3 linked regions of the Oryzias latipes genome follow. Each later gene encodes a partner of the first gene's protein in a complex. Links are inferred from orthologs where the notes say so. Each region holds a gene or a part of one and is shown on either strand. Other genes may lie near its edges.

Region 1 (3,964 bases):
TCTGGATCCACTTTAGGACAGAGGATCCGGATCCACTTTAGGACAGGGGATCCGGATCCACTTTAGGACAGGGGATCTGGATCCACTTTAGGACAGAGGATCCGGATCCACTTTAGGACAGGGGATCCGGATCCACTTTAGGACAGGGGATCTGGATCCACTTTAGGTTAGAGGATCTGGATCCACTTTAGGACAGAGGATCCGGATCCACTTTAGGACAGGGGATCCGGATCCACTTTAGGACAGGGGATCCGGATCCACTTTAGGACAGGGGATCTGGATCCACTTTAGGACAGGGGATCTGGATCCACTTTAGGACAGAGGATCCGGATCCACTTTAGGACAGGGGATCCGGATCCACTTTAGGACAGGGGATCTGGATCCACTTTAGGACAGGGGATCTGGATCCACTTTAGGACAGAGGATCTGGATCCACTTTAGGTTAGAGGATCCGGATCCACTTTAGGTCAGAGGATCCGGATCCACTTTAGGACAGGGGATCCGGATCCACTTTAGGACAGGGGATCTGGATCCACTTTAGGACAGGGGATCTGGATCCACTTTAGGACAGAGGATCTGGATCCACTTTAGGTTAGAGGATCTGGATCCACTTTAGGTCAGAGAATCTGGATCCACTTTAGGTCAGAGAACCGGATCAGCGAGCACAAATGATGATGTGAATCGTTGTTACAGTGAATGGTTCCACCTAGGGTTGTGCCGATGGACGATATCATCGTCCATCGTGATGGGTGACTGACATCCCGATGGAGAGACCACCATCGTGATGCCACGCCCCCGCCACGTTGCGCGTCGACACCATAAGCCGCGGTTACATGTACAAAATATCTTGATGGGATCAATGGTCGGATTAGTATCCAACCGTGTACATGGGCCCAGAAAAATGTTTTCAGAATATAAAAACGTTCACTAAGGTCACAATTTCGGTCGGAATAAATCATTCGCACATGCGCAGTATTCGCACATGCGCAGTTTGAAAACCGGAAGAGGATACAACTTCCGCCGAGCGGCTTTTTTTTCCAAACTTTATTGAAGGTAACAAATCAATACAAAACGATAACAGCGGCGAGCAGCTATATACATTGACATGTCAGCTCGGTAAAATACGAGACGATCTTCTAAACGTGCTTTTAATAATGTTACGGTTATTATGAAACACCTGTTCGCTCATCATTTGAATTTTAATCCGTGTGGTCAGTGCTTTTTCTGAACGAAGCCAGGATTAGCAGTATGCTAACACGGGCTAACAACATTAGCTTTGGGTGGCGCTGCACGTAAACGTGTAAGAATAACATCAGCCTTTATTTAGTCGGGACACGACTGGAAACACAAATCCGCGTGATTGTTTGAATGTTTTCTAAGGACTGAGCGACATTTCTGCTTTGAAGCTCAAACCGCTGTGTGTGCTGACGATCCGAACTGTGCTCAGACACACGTTTAGACCCGGTTCTGAGTTCGGTAGCTAGTACCCCTAGAGCTGCGGGACGGATCGCAGTCTTAAATCTCCCACACATACCGCTCATGTACCCCCCCCCCCCCTTCCCATCAAACATAAAGCTGTAAATCCGCCCTCCGCCGGTCAACTTCACTAGTTAAGTGCGGGAGCGGACCACTTCTTTTCTATTTTGCTTGTTACTTTTTCTGTTAAAGTCACTTCCCCTCAGTTTATACTGGATCATTGCGGATTAACCATTAGTTGGGAAATAAAATGAAAAAAGCAAAATAACGAATAGCAGTTATATAAGAACGAAAAATGTAAAAATACCCCCCCCCCCCCCCCCCGACGATGTCATCGTCCATCCCGATGGTTGACAGCAAACATCGTCAACGGCCAAATTAGGGGACATCGCCCAACCCTAGTTCCACCCAGAATGGAATATTCACAGATGTTTAATGAGGAAATCAACAGGAGGATTTCCTCTCCCAGAACTCTCTGCATCTCACCAGAACGGTATGGACCAGCTGCTCGTGGTCCTTCTTCAACAAGGTGACGCAGCTCCTGAACTCCTGCAGCCAGCTGATGATCTGAGCGTCCTGTGAGGAGCAGAGGAGCAGCTCAGTACCAACCATCCAACGGGACCAGTCGGCCCAATACCGGAACCCACCTTAATGTCTGGATCTGCCAGCTGATGCTGCAGCAGCTCATAATCACCAAAGTCCCCCTGTAGAACCGAACAGAACATCAACAACCACCAACCAAGATTCTAGTAGAACAGTTCAGGATCAGTTGCATCCTAATGCACACCAGCTTTGTGTTTTTTAGTATCTCCGCAACCAATTTTACAATTCAATGCGAATCAATTTACTTTAAATTCAAACATTAGAAAATACCTCCATAATGCTTTCTTTTTATTTAAATATGCAGCCACGTCACAACTTAATGGAACGGACTGACAACCGGACCAAAGCTTCAGTCTGCGGCGGAAACGAGTACCTGCCGGTGCTTCTCTAACGTCTCGGCCACGCTGCCCCCGAACCGGACCGTTTTCAGCGGGTCAGAGTTCAGGAAGTCCCTGTTAGTGTTCCCCTCCATGGTGGGTGCACGCGCCACCGGCAGCTGGGTTCCCGTCGCTAAAACAGCCGCGCGGACGAAGGCGCGCGGCCCCGCGGCATTCTCTCTGATGTCTTCTCGCTGTAGCTCCTCGATAACGAAAGTTCTACAACATCTGAAACAAACAGAACCAGAACCGACACGAGTCTGAGCGCGTCACCCCCTTTTTACACTACAGCCGGGAAGCAGCGGCGTGCTGGGGACGTGTTTACGTGAGGGACCGGTGTCACACTAAAAGATCTCCGGGAAGAGTTTTTTCCTCACAGTTCCTGCCTTCTTTATTTTTTAGAACAAACATAAAATGATTGAAAGTATATTTTTCAAAGTGACTGTCATTGATTTTAAGTAATTTCTTTTTGTCTAACAACTGTTAAAACTGTAAGATGCAGTAAAGAAAGATGAACATTTACTGATGAAAGGATTTTCTTCAGTTGATCCAACATTCAAGAAATACACGTATTACAGTATTGTAGCAATGCATCAATGACGGAAGCGGAGAGACAAGATAGGAGGATCTCTAGGCTTTATTTTTTTGAACTCAGTGCAAAAAAGAAGTAACCACAACAGGATTAAATAACTAAGAGTGAACAGCCATAAAACAGCCAGATGGAAGGACACACAGGCAAAATAAACCCCGTACTCAACCCAAACGTGACCAGAGCAGGCCAAGCGGATTATATCCCACAATTCCCCGCGCTGCCAGCTCCGACAGCAATGTGCGCGTGACCGCCACTACACTATTATGCTGGAACTGTTTCAGGAGTGGAAAAATTGCATTTAACCTTCTCTCAAAACAAACAAACTTTATGATACAACATTCTAAATAAAACTAAAAATAATATATACTCTATACACAGTGACGTGCAGTCAGGAGAGGCAGGTGCCTCACCTGTCATTATGGGAAGAAAAGAGAAAAAATAAATTCAATTATATTTAATCAGTAATTTGTGCTTTGCAGTCATTTTCCATTTAAATGTACCATTTTTGGGTGTTTTTTCTTTTCAAAATCGCTGAATTTCCGCATTTGCCGTTCAGATACTAAGAAGTGACGTGCGATGAGGCACCAGCCCGCTGAGCCTCACCTTGGATTGCGCAATACCTATGCAGTCAGACGGCACTGCTGTCTCTCTGTATGTCGGTTCAATCACTTGTACTATATCAGCTGAGTTTACATAATTTAGCAGATGTATATGATGTACAGTGTTTTCTTTTATAAATAACTGTATGTGGGGGACGTGTTTCCTGTGCTGAGCGCTAAACCCCGGCAAAAAACTCGCTGGGTGAGGCCAGCAGTTCTCGTGCCTCATGTTAGGGGCGCCGGTGAGCCCTGAGATTATGAATAAGTGATAGCAAGCGGCAAGTCATTTTCTTCAGAAGGAGCGGCGTATGAACTTT
Region 2 (4,265 bases), on another chromosome or scaffold:
TCTTACTAATGGAGCAATGTGTTTTTCTGAGTAAGTTGATGATGCTGATCGCTAAGCTAACACTTTTAGCCATACTAGCATAACTTTCATTGTTAGCATAATTAGCATCTTAAGCAATGTGTTTTTCTGAGTGAGTTGATGATGCTGATCGCAATGCTAGCAATTCTAGCCAAAATAGCATATCTAGCAGTGTTAGCATATTTAGAGTCTTAAGCAATGTGTTTTTTCTGAGTACGCTGATGATGCTGATCGCTAAGCTAGCACTTTTAGCCATTTTAGCATAACTACCATAGTTAGGATGGTTAGTATATGCATTTTTTGGGTGGTGAGGGCGGCTGAGCTGCATAGAGGTGGGCAGCGATAGCGGAGGTGGTGTGTAGAAGCGGGTAGCGCCTACAATGCCACGTACGGCTTTAATTTACATCTATAATTTTGTCTGCTGTGAGTTTTCCTGAAACTTTTGCTATGAACTCTATTAAAAATTGTCATATATTAGCTGGATGGTTCATATTAAGGGCTATTTTTATTAAAACAATGACACAAAGTTAGGTGAAATTGTTTTTTAAAAGAGAAAATGAGGAACGCTTCACGAATTTGCGTGTCATCCTTGCGCAGGGGCCATGCTAATCTTCTCTGTATCGTTCCAATTTTAGTATATGCACTAGAGAACTAGTGCAATGAGCCAATGTCTCGGAGTGCTTTTTAAACCCTCCCCTCTGCTACTCTTCTCAAGCATGAGGTGTGATCTGAGGGAACACAGTGGACTTTAAAGGGAACCACAATTAAGACAAAACACCAAAAAAGATCCTCTGTTTCTCCCATGACACAGGATCGTCTCAGGTTCACCATCTCCATTCAAAGTTTGACTTAAATGCTTAAATCAGATTAAAATTACATTTTTTCTGACTTTGTGAGAGACTTCTTGGAAGGATTCTGGGAAAAGAAGGGGGGTTTTGTCACGTCAGACGAGTGCGACTGGTTTCCCGGAAGCGCCAGAACAAAAGGTCGAGTCAACACCCCTCCAGGAGGACCTTTACCAACCCCCACCGCAGCTCCAACCAACCCCCATGTGCTGATGGTTACACACACAGGGGTGGAGACTCTTTCAGACAAGGATCTGTGTGGAGAAAGAGAAAACTGGTCTGATCGCGTCAGACTGACGTCATTCTGCTGCTGCCTTCAAGCAGGAAGCCAAAGCGACGACTCGCTGCAGAAAGATCAGCTCAGAGACGAGAGTCTGTGCTTCTGCTTCCAGCAACAGGACGAACAGAACTCACATGGACCTAAATTCAATAAGAAGAACCCATCAAAGACCAGGATTATACACTTTCATTGGTGCGGAGACGATCCTGAGTGGCTTGCTTCCCTGTTGAGAGCCTGTCGGCTCCTGGTTGAACTAAATTCTGACCATTTCCTGCTTTTTCTCCAATATGCTGCCTCTGAAATTCTTTAAATACATTGTGAGCATCTGTGAGGTAAAATTCTACTTCAAAAATCCTGTTTCTAAACACAAAGATACAGTCATGTTTAATGCAGAAAATACCTGCTGTAGATCTGCCACATGGTGCCGCTGTTTCACCGCTCCACCTGGAGATTCATTACATGGAAGCGTTGCATTCAACTAAAATAAAGAAACGGTGGATCTTCATTATATTTATTCTGTGGAATTTTGTTCCAGTATTTCAAGAACTATAAAGGCAAATAACTTCATTTGCTCATCAAACATATAAGATGAGCTGCAATTAGAAGTTGAGAATGTGTTCGTGTCACAGACACATCCGGTCACCGGTCTGCTTTGTTTTTTTCATACTAACTTTATCCACAAACATGACGTTGGATATAGTTCTATTGACTAGTGTAAACTTTTTATTTGTGTCTGTGGTGAAGCAGAAAACGAGTCACAGCCTGAGTTTACTTCGATGTGAAGCTACAGAGGCAGACGGGGACCGTCAATAAAGTACACCAAAACACCCCAGACAAACAATAGCAGTTTCTCAGTAAGTCAACATAAATAACCTCTAAAACATTACAAGTACTCACTATTGTTCAAACAAACTCCACATAAATCCATACTATTACTTTATTACTGCTTTTCTTAGAGTGAACCAGCGTGTTGGAGTCACCCAAGTTGTAGACGTGTCCTTATCACCTCGCTTTAGGACAACTGCCGTAGTCCTAAAAAAACAGTGATCAAATGATCAAATAACTGGACCTTTTCTACGCGCTTTCTGGCCGTCCAAATGCAGAGAAATTGACGACAAACACCCACAGTCAGCAATAAATAAGAAGTTTAACGTTATTTACTGGAACGGAATGGAAATTTGGTGAAATTAGCGGGCCAGAAACTACTTTCAAATCCGCCATTTATTTAGATTAGAGCTTTGAACGTTAGCAACAATTAAATTTGTTTTTGTTTTCTACTAATAACACATCATTAAACTGTGTTTTCGACAAGACGAGCAACACATCTATTCCGTTATCTCACGAAAGCAGTAGTTATAATCTCGTAATATCGACTTAAATCACTCCAGAAAGTGAACTAATTGAGCAAACACGGCGGCCGTCGTCTTTCGTTTCCCTAAAAGCTTTGAACAATTTCTTTGATCTTAACCGCCACGCATGAGCTGCTCGTCTTCTCATGATTGTCGCATGTGTGAAGCTCAGAAAGCAGAATTCTGCTCCTCACCGTCGTTTGGACTCAGGTTGTTCGGGAGAAGTAGGACACGGAAGCACAAAAGCCGAACCCAGAGCGGTTCTGATCCGAACCTTTCACGCTGGAGTCCAGTAGGTGACTAGTCCGAGACATTCAGGGAACGTCCGAAAAAGAAAATCTCTCTTGAAAAAGTTTAGGAATTTAAAAAACAATAAAGAAAGCACAAGTAGGATTTTGTTTATCTATAAATGGACCCCCCCCACACACACACACACACTATAAAATCATTACTTAAATAAATAAAACAATAAACTAAGAAATGAGGTTTTTAAAGACAAACACAGTAAAAACATTGATTTCCACCTTTAATGAATGTCTGTGAATCGATCAATCGATGACCTCACGCGTTCATGGTTTTCATCCATTTACAGGTTCTTTCTGTTGAGAGAAGAAGTGAATCCCTTCCAGTTGTTTGTTTCTTTAGAAGAATCAGCAGCAGAGGATCTTTATGCTGCAACCGCGCACAGCGGGCCGCGAACTCGGGAGCTTCTGCACGGCGAGAGGAAGTCTTCCTCCGACGGGCCTGATCAGAGTGTTCCAACTTCTCAATCAATCAAATGGCCAGAATTGTTCCAATTTCTAGTATCAAACTTTGCTGTGTCCAATCAGAGAGCCGGATTCGTTCCAATTCCTTCAAATAACTGCCGGTTTTCCATTATTTTAAGACAAATAAATAGTTTGCATTATTTCAAGTGTCTAAAAGAGATTAATGTATTTGTGAAGAAGTGAACTCACGTTGTTACGTGTGTTTTAGTGAAAAAGGAAAAGGAAAGAACATATTTAATACAAAGTTTGCAGGCGGAGATGATTTTGTTTTTACAGGGAACGTTTATTTGCAATAAAAGTAGAATTGAAAAGAAAATATCAAGAATAAACTTCTTTTGAATCAGAACATTTTTAATAATAGGAATATTGTTTCCACAGAAAACTAAAATGTGTGCAGAGATTTAAATGGAAATGAGATCCAGCAAAGTACCAGGAGTGAAGAAGCTGAGAGGAGATTTCTCCGATGATGCTGTGATGATGAACCTGCTGGTGTTTCTGCGGCAGATCTAACCTCTGTCATTGTTCACCAGCAGAAACCTGGAAAAACACAGAACGACCCACTGACTGACTTTGGATGAAGAAAGAGGAAGACTCCCACCAGCTTTCATGGGAGAAGAAGGTCCAAGGTGAGGCAGGTCGTCAGTCTTGGGAAGGGATGGGAGAGGTGGAGTGGTGGATTCTGGACCCGTGCAGAAGCTCATGAGTTCATGTCTCACTTTGTACACTCAGACTGAAAAGGTTCAAATCATAGAAATGCAGGAGAAATCTAAAAGATTTAGCAAAGTATTTGCATCTCTAAATACTTTGAAATTGGGCTGATTTGGTGGTGAGAGATGATGCATTGAATCATTTGGCACAAAGAGATGTGAAAGTACTGAGTAAACAAATTGTTTTGTGCTTTTTTTCAGACTTAATCATCGACAAAACAAAGCTGCAGCTGCAGAACTCTCCGTGTTCTGGACAGATGTGTTCACCAAAGAGGGCAGAACTCTCTCATCACACATAA
Region 3 (3,771 bases), on another chromosome or scaffold:
TTTTTGTAAGAGTTTACTTTTATGCCAAATAGCTTGCCTGCTTGTGCATCTCCTGTGGATAATAGATGAGGGGGGCAGTTATTAAAAAGGCTTTAGAGAGAGATTGGGGGGGGGGGGGGGGTATAGGTATGATGGAGAGCTACTGAGGCCCAGGAGGACCAAACTAGACCAAGGAGGTTGAACTGTTTTTTTCTAAATGCTGCTGGCAACTTAACAGGGCAGTTGTGGTGCAGAAGTAGAGCGGTCAACCCCTGATCAAGAGGTTGCAGGTTTAATTCCCACCCTACCCGCCCATGTGTCCAAGGTTAAGACACTGAACCCCACCTTGCTTCTGGGGGTTATAGGTTGGCAACATGGTTTGGTAGCTGAGCCACAATCAGTGTGTGTGTTCATGGGTGAATGGAACTGTGACTGTAAAATGCTCCAAGAAGATAGTTAAGGGGCTAAATAAGTATACGCCGTTTACCATTCTGCTTCAATAAATCAACAAAAAGAACATGTCAGATACCAAGAGCGTTCTTTATCATTTAAAGAACAATTTAACAGCCATGTGAGATGTAAGTTGAAGCCTTACTGGATACAACAGTTCAAATTTGGTAGAATACTTTATAAAAACATAGGATGACAGTTTTCTGGTCTTTGACAAGAGTTTTAAAGAAATTAATCAAACTATAAAGAGATCATTTTCTGAGAAAATGCGCGCAAGTACTAACAGCTGTCCAGTTGAGAATCAGGGTATGCTTCAGGAAAAATAAATATAAACAGCTGATACAGTTTTATTGTTTCTGGTTAGTTTGCTGAGTTGCTGTCCTGCTCCTTCACTTTAGTTGACTTGTGTAAAATGTATACCTGATTGTCCTGAGCCTCCGTGGCTGCAGTTTAAATCTGAGACATCGATTCCTGTTTTTTTTCTTGTAGAGTCCCGATGAACTGACCAGTGTCATGTGTGACAAAGGTGGAGAGGACCAACACGTGCACCAGAACATGCACAAGTTCAGTTTAACAAACAGAAACAGCTCATCACTACAAAAAAGCAGCTCCCTGGATCAAAACAGAACCAGAGTTGAGGTGATTGTGATCAGATAGTAAGCAAAAGCTTTTCTCAGGAGTCCTCCTTTTCCTGGAACCTGAAACAAGACAAAGACCGGTCAGCTCCAGAACCGTACAGCAGGACAGGAGGGTCACGCTGACGCCACCTACCTGCAGTGGATGCAGGTGAAGAAGACCGTCTGTCCTTCATCTGCAGATCTCATCTGCCTAGTGTGGTAGATCATGCCTTCCTTATTGCAGCGAGTGCAGCGTCGGTCAATCTGCAAGCAAGGCAAGAAGCAAACCGTGAGGCGTTACCGCGACAACGAACGCTCCACTGCTGAGCGGACGGCTGCTTTTACCACAGGGCCCTTCAGCTCTGAGTTCTCCTCATCCTCCAGAGCCAGCAAGGTCTGCTCAGCGGGGTTGAAGATAACCCCAGACTGAATTTCTCTTCCCAAGAACTCTGCAGAGCAAAAGCAGCACAGTTAGAGGATTGGACAGATTAGACCTGTTAGAGAGACATCAGGAGAACCCTTTTGTCAGTGCAGACTGGCTCAAATAATTTCATGAAAGCATTAAGAGTAACTTTCAGCAACAGAGTTCTTCTGAATCCTCAACATCCTTCCCATGACCTGTGATAGTGTCACGTGGTAAAGGACACATGTATGAGCTGCCAGTGGATCTCCAACCCCAATATGAGGCCTTCCCAGGGAGGAGGAGTGAGCCCAGCAGAGGTTACTGTCTCATCACTGCTCCACAGACCGGCTGAGGAAGAAATTCAATGACTGATGTTGATCATATGCTAAATTGATTTGTCTGAAATGTTTCATTTGAGCAGTTTTAGGTGGTTGCTTTTTATTTCCCATTCTTGTTAAAGCATACTAGTCATTAAGAAAGGAGGGCAGTCAAATCAGAGAAACTAAAAAATCAAGGAAGAACTTACACATAATGTGAACTTAAAGGTAGTTGCTGATCAAAAACAAATAAAAAATGGAGGGAAATGTCAGACTGAGTGCCTCATTTTCAGTAAACCGGTAGTTTTGACTGTACTCTTGGTGCTTAAAAGCCATTCGGTTCTTGAGGGACATGAACCAGCAGCAGAGCAGGCAGACTCTCATGGCGGCGTGGACCGCTTACCTGTCACGGGCGTGCAGAGACAGCAGCGAGGGCAGCGCACCGTGTCGGACAGTCCTGGCAACGGCAGGACGCTGCCACAATCCTGACAGAAGTTGGGGTCGCGGCCGTTTGAAGACATTTGCTCTGGTTCTGAGGAAGCGCGGCGGCTATGTTCAGAGCACGTGACACAACAACAGTCCGACAGACAGATAGCTAACACATCATGCTAACTTGCAGGCACGTGGGTGGGCGCGCGCGGGCTCTCGGAGGAGTGATTTGAGGATAATTACCTGATCGATGGCTGTTTGCACAAAAACAGACAATAATTTACTTTCTCCTCGCCCGCATTGGGTGTTGTTGTGCGCTCTTCTTCTTCATGTTAACTAGAAGATGGTAATGTCACGTAAACACGAGCGCCTCGTAGTGGACAGAAATGTGAATGACACCATTGTAGTTTTCCTTCATTTGACCCTAAATTTTAAGGATGTTCCAACGTTTTACAACTCAAAAGACCTTATTTATTCGTAGTTGACTCTTATAAATTCATCACTTACTACTGTTGTAAGTTATATGAAGGTTTTAGACTACTGTAACTTTATAAGTGTGTTTTAATCCAGATATTTTCACCTCTAATGTTTCAGTTAGCCAAAAATCGAATTAATAAATGTCATTTTGTTTCCTTTCTCGCAAATGTTTGATGGTTTTTCTGTCTTTTTAAATCCATTATTTTAAAAAAAATAATTTTAAAATGTATTTAGCAAATTAAGCACTTAGCTTGCATCAAATTCCTTTGGTTGCTCAACATATTTAGTTGTTTTTTTGTTATTTCTCACAGCAGTATTATCTTGTAATATTGCATTTGTGGCATTGTTCATTATTGAGTTTTTCTAATAATTTCAGATGTTTAGCAAATTTAGGAATTATCAGTTCACCTGGGAGCTTTTGCATTTAAGTATTCAAGCTGGCAACAATTTAATTGAATAGCCTCCTTTATTTTTCCTAGGAATTAATGCTTTTCCTGGTAAATCCTGTTTGTACTTCTGGCCACAATTGCATATCTACATGTAGTTTTTTGCAGTTTCCTCTCAAATAATTGTAATTAAATTCCGATCTGTAAAAAATTGAGCCTCCAGTTTCACACACAAGGCAATTAATCCGTATTTATATCTTTGCCCACAGCCTCAAGACAAAATTAGATTTAAACAAGGTTTTTAAAAATAAATTACAACCTGATAAAATAAAAACAACCTGCTTGCCTATTTAAATCGACATAAATTGGCAAGCAGGGGGCATAAAACAACTAGAGCACATAATTATTGATAGTAGATTCATAACTCCCCAGGAACTTCAAGACAAACATGGAATAAATAACTTCTTGGAATATCAGCAACTTAAATCAATTATTACTAAAAAGTTTAAATACAGAGACAACGATTTCAAGCTACCAGACGTAGTTACCACTCTGATTAATTTCTCAATGAAAAAAACTCTCTCCAAAATATACAAACTTTTATGTAATTTAGATAATAATATTTCACTTCCGACAACAAAATGGGATGCGGATTTGAGCATCAGCACAGATTAAAGCTTCTGGTCAGAACTTTGTCTAAACACCTTTAAACT

Evidence for each region.
Region 2: rrn3 (region 1) and polr2k share a complex: the UniProt entries of both Homo sapiens proteins name them as parts of the pol I pre-initiation complex. The link is inferred for Oryzias latipes from reciprocal best matches to the Homo sapiens genes RRN3 and POLR2K.
Region 3: rrn3 (region 1) and znrd1 share a complex: the UniProt entries of both Homo sapiens proteins name them as parts of the pol I pre-initiation complex. The link is inferred for Oryzias latipes from reciprocal best matches to the Homo sapiens genes RRN3 and POLR1H.

What each region holds. Positions count from the first base shown.
Region 1 is NC_019866.2:25,544,614-25,548,577, forward strand, and holds the start of rrn3 (RNA polymerase I-specific transcription initiation factor RRN3), read right to left. Parts: upstream 2,801-3,964; 5' UTR 2,552-2,800; coding exon 2,453-2,551; intron 2,181-2,452; coding exon 2,124-2,180; intron 2,053-2,123; coding exon 1,963-2,052; intron 1-1,962. UniProt on the Homo sapiens protein: Required for efficient transcription initiation by RNA polymerase I (Pol I). Required for the formation of the competent pre-initiation complex (PIC).
Region 2 is NC_019869.2:7,013,698-7,017,962, reverse strand, and holds the start of polr2k (DNA-directed RNA polymerases I, II, and III subunit RPABC4), read right to left. Parts: upstream 2,801-4,265; 5' UTR 2,687-2,800; intron 1,622-2,686; 5' UTR 1,544-1,621; intron 1,461-1,543; exon of another isoform or gene 981-1,460; intron 677-980; exon of another isoform or gene 571-676; intron 1-570. UniProt on the Homo sapiens protein: DNA-dependent RNA polymerase catalyzes the transcription of DNA into RNA using the four ribonucleoside triphosphates as substrates.
Region 3 is NC_019869.2:21,549,357-21,553,127, reverse strand, and holds znrd1 (DNA-directed RNA polymerase I subunit RPA12), read right to left. Parts: upstream 2,561-3,771; 5' UTR 2,439-2,560; exon of another isoform or gene 2,299-2,438; 5' UTR 2,288-2,298; coding exon 2,170-2,287; intron 1,496-2,169; coding exon 1,392-1,495; intron 1,311-1,391; coding exon 1,201-1,310; intron 1,128-1,200; coding exon 1,103-1,127; 3' UTR 501-1,102; downstream 1-500. UniProt on the Homo sapiens protein: Core component of RNA polymerase I (Pol I), a DNA-dependent RNA polymerase which synthesizes ribosomal RNA precursors using the four ribonucleoside triphosphates as substrates. Can mediate Pol I proofreading of the nascent RNA transcript.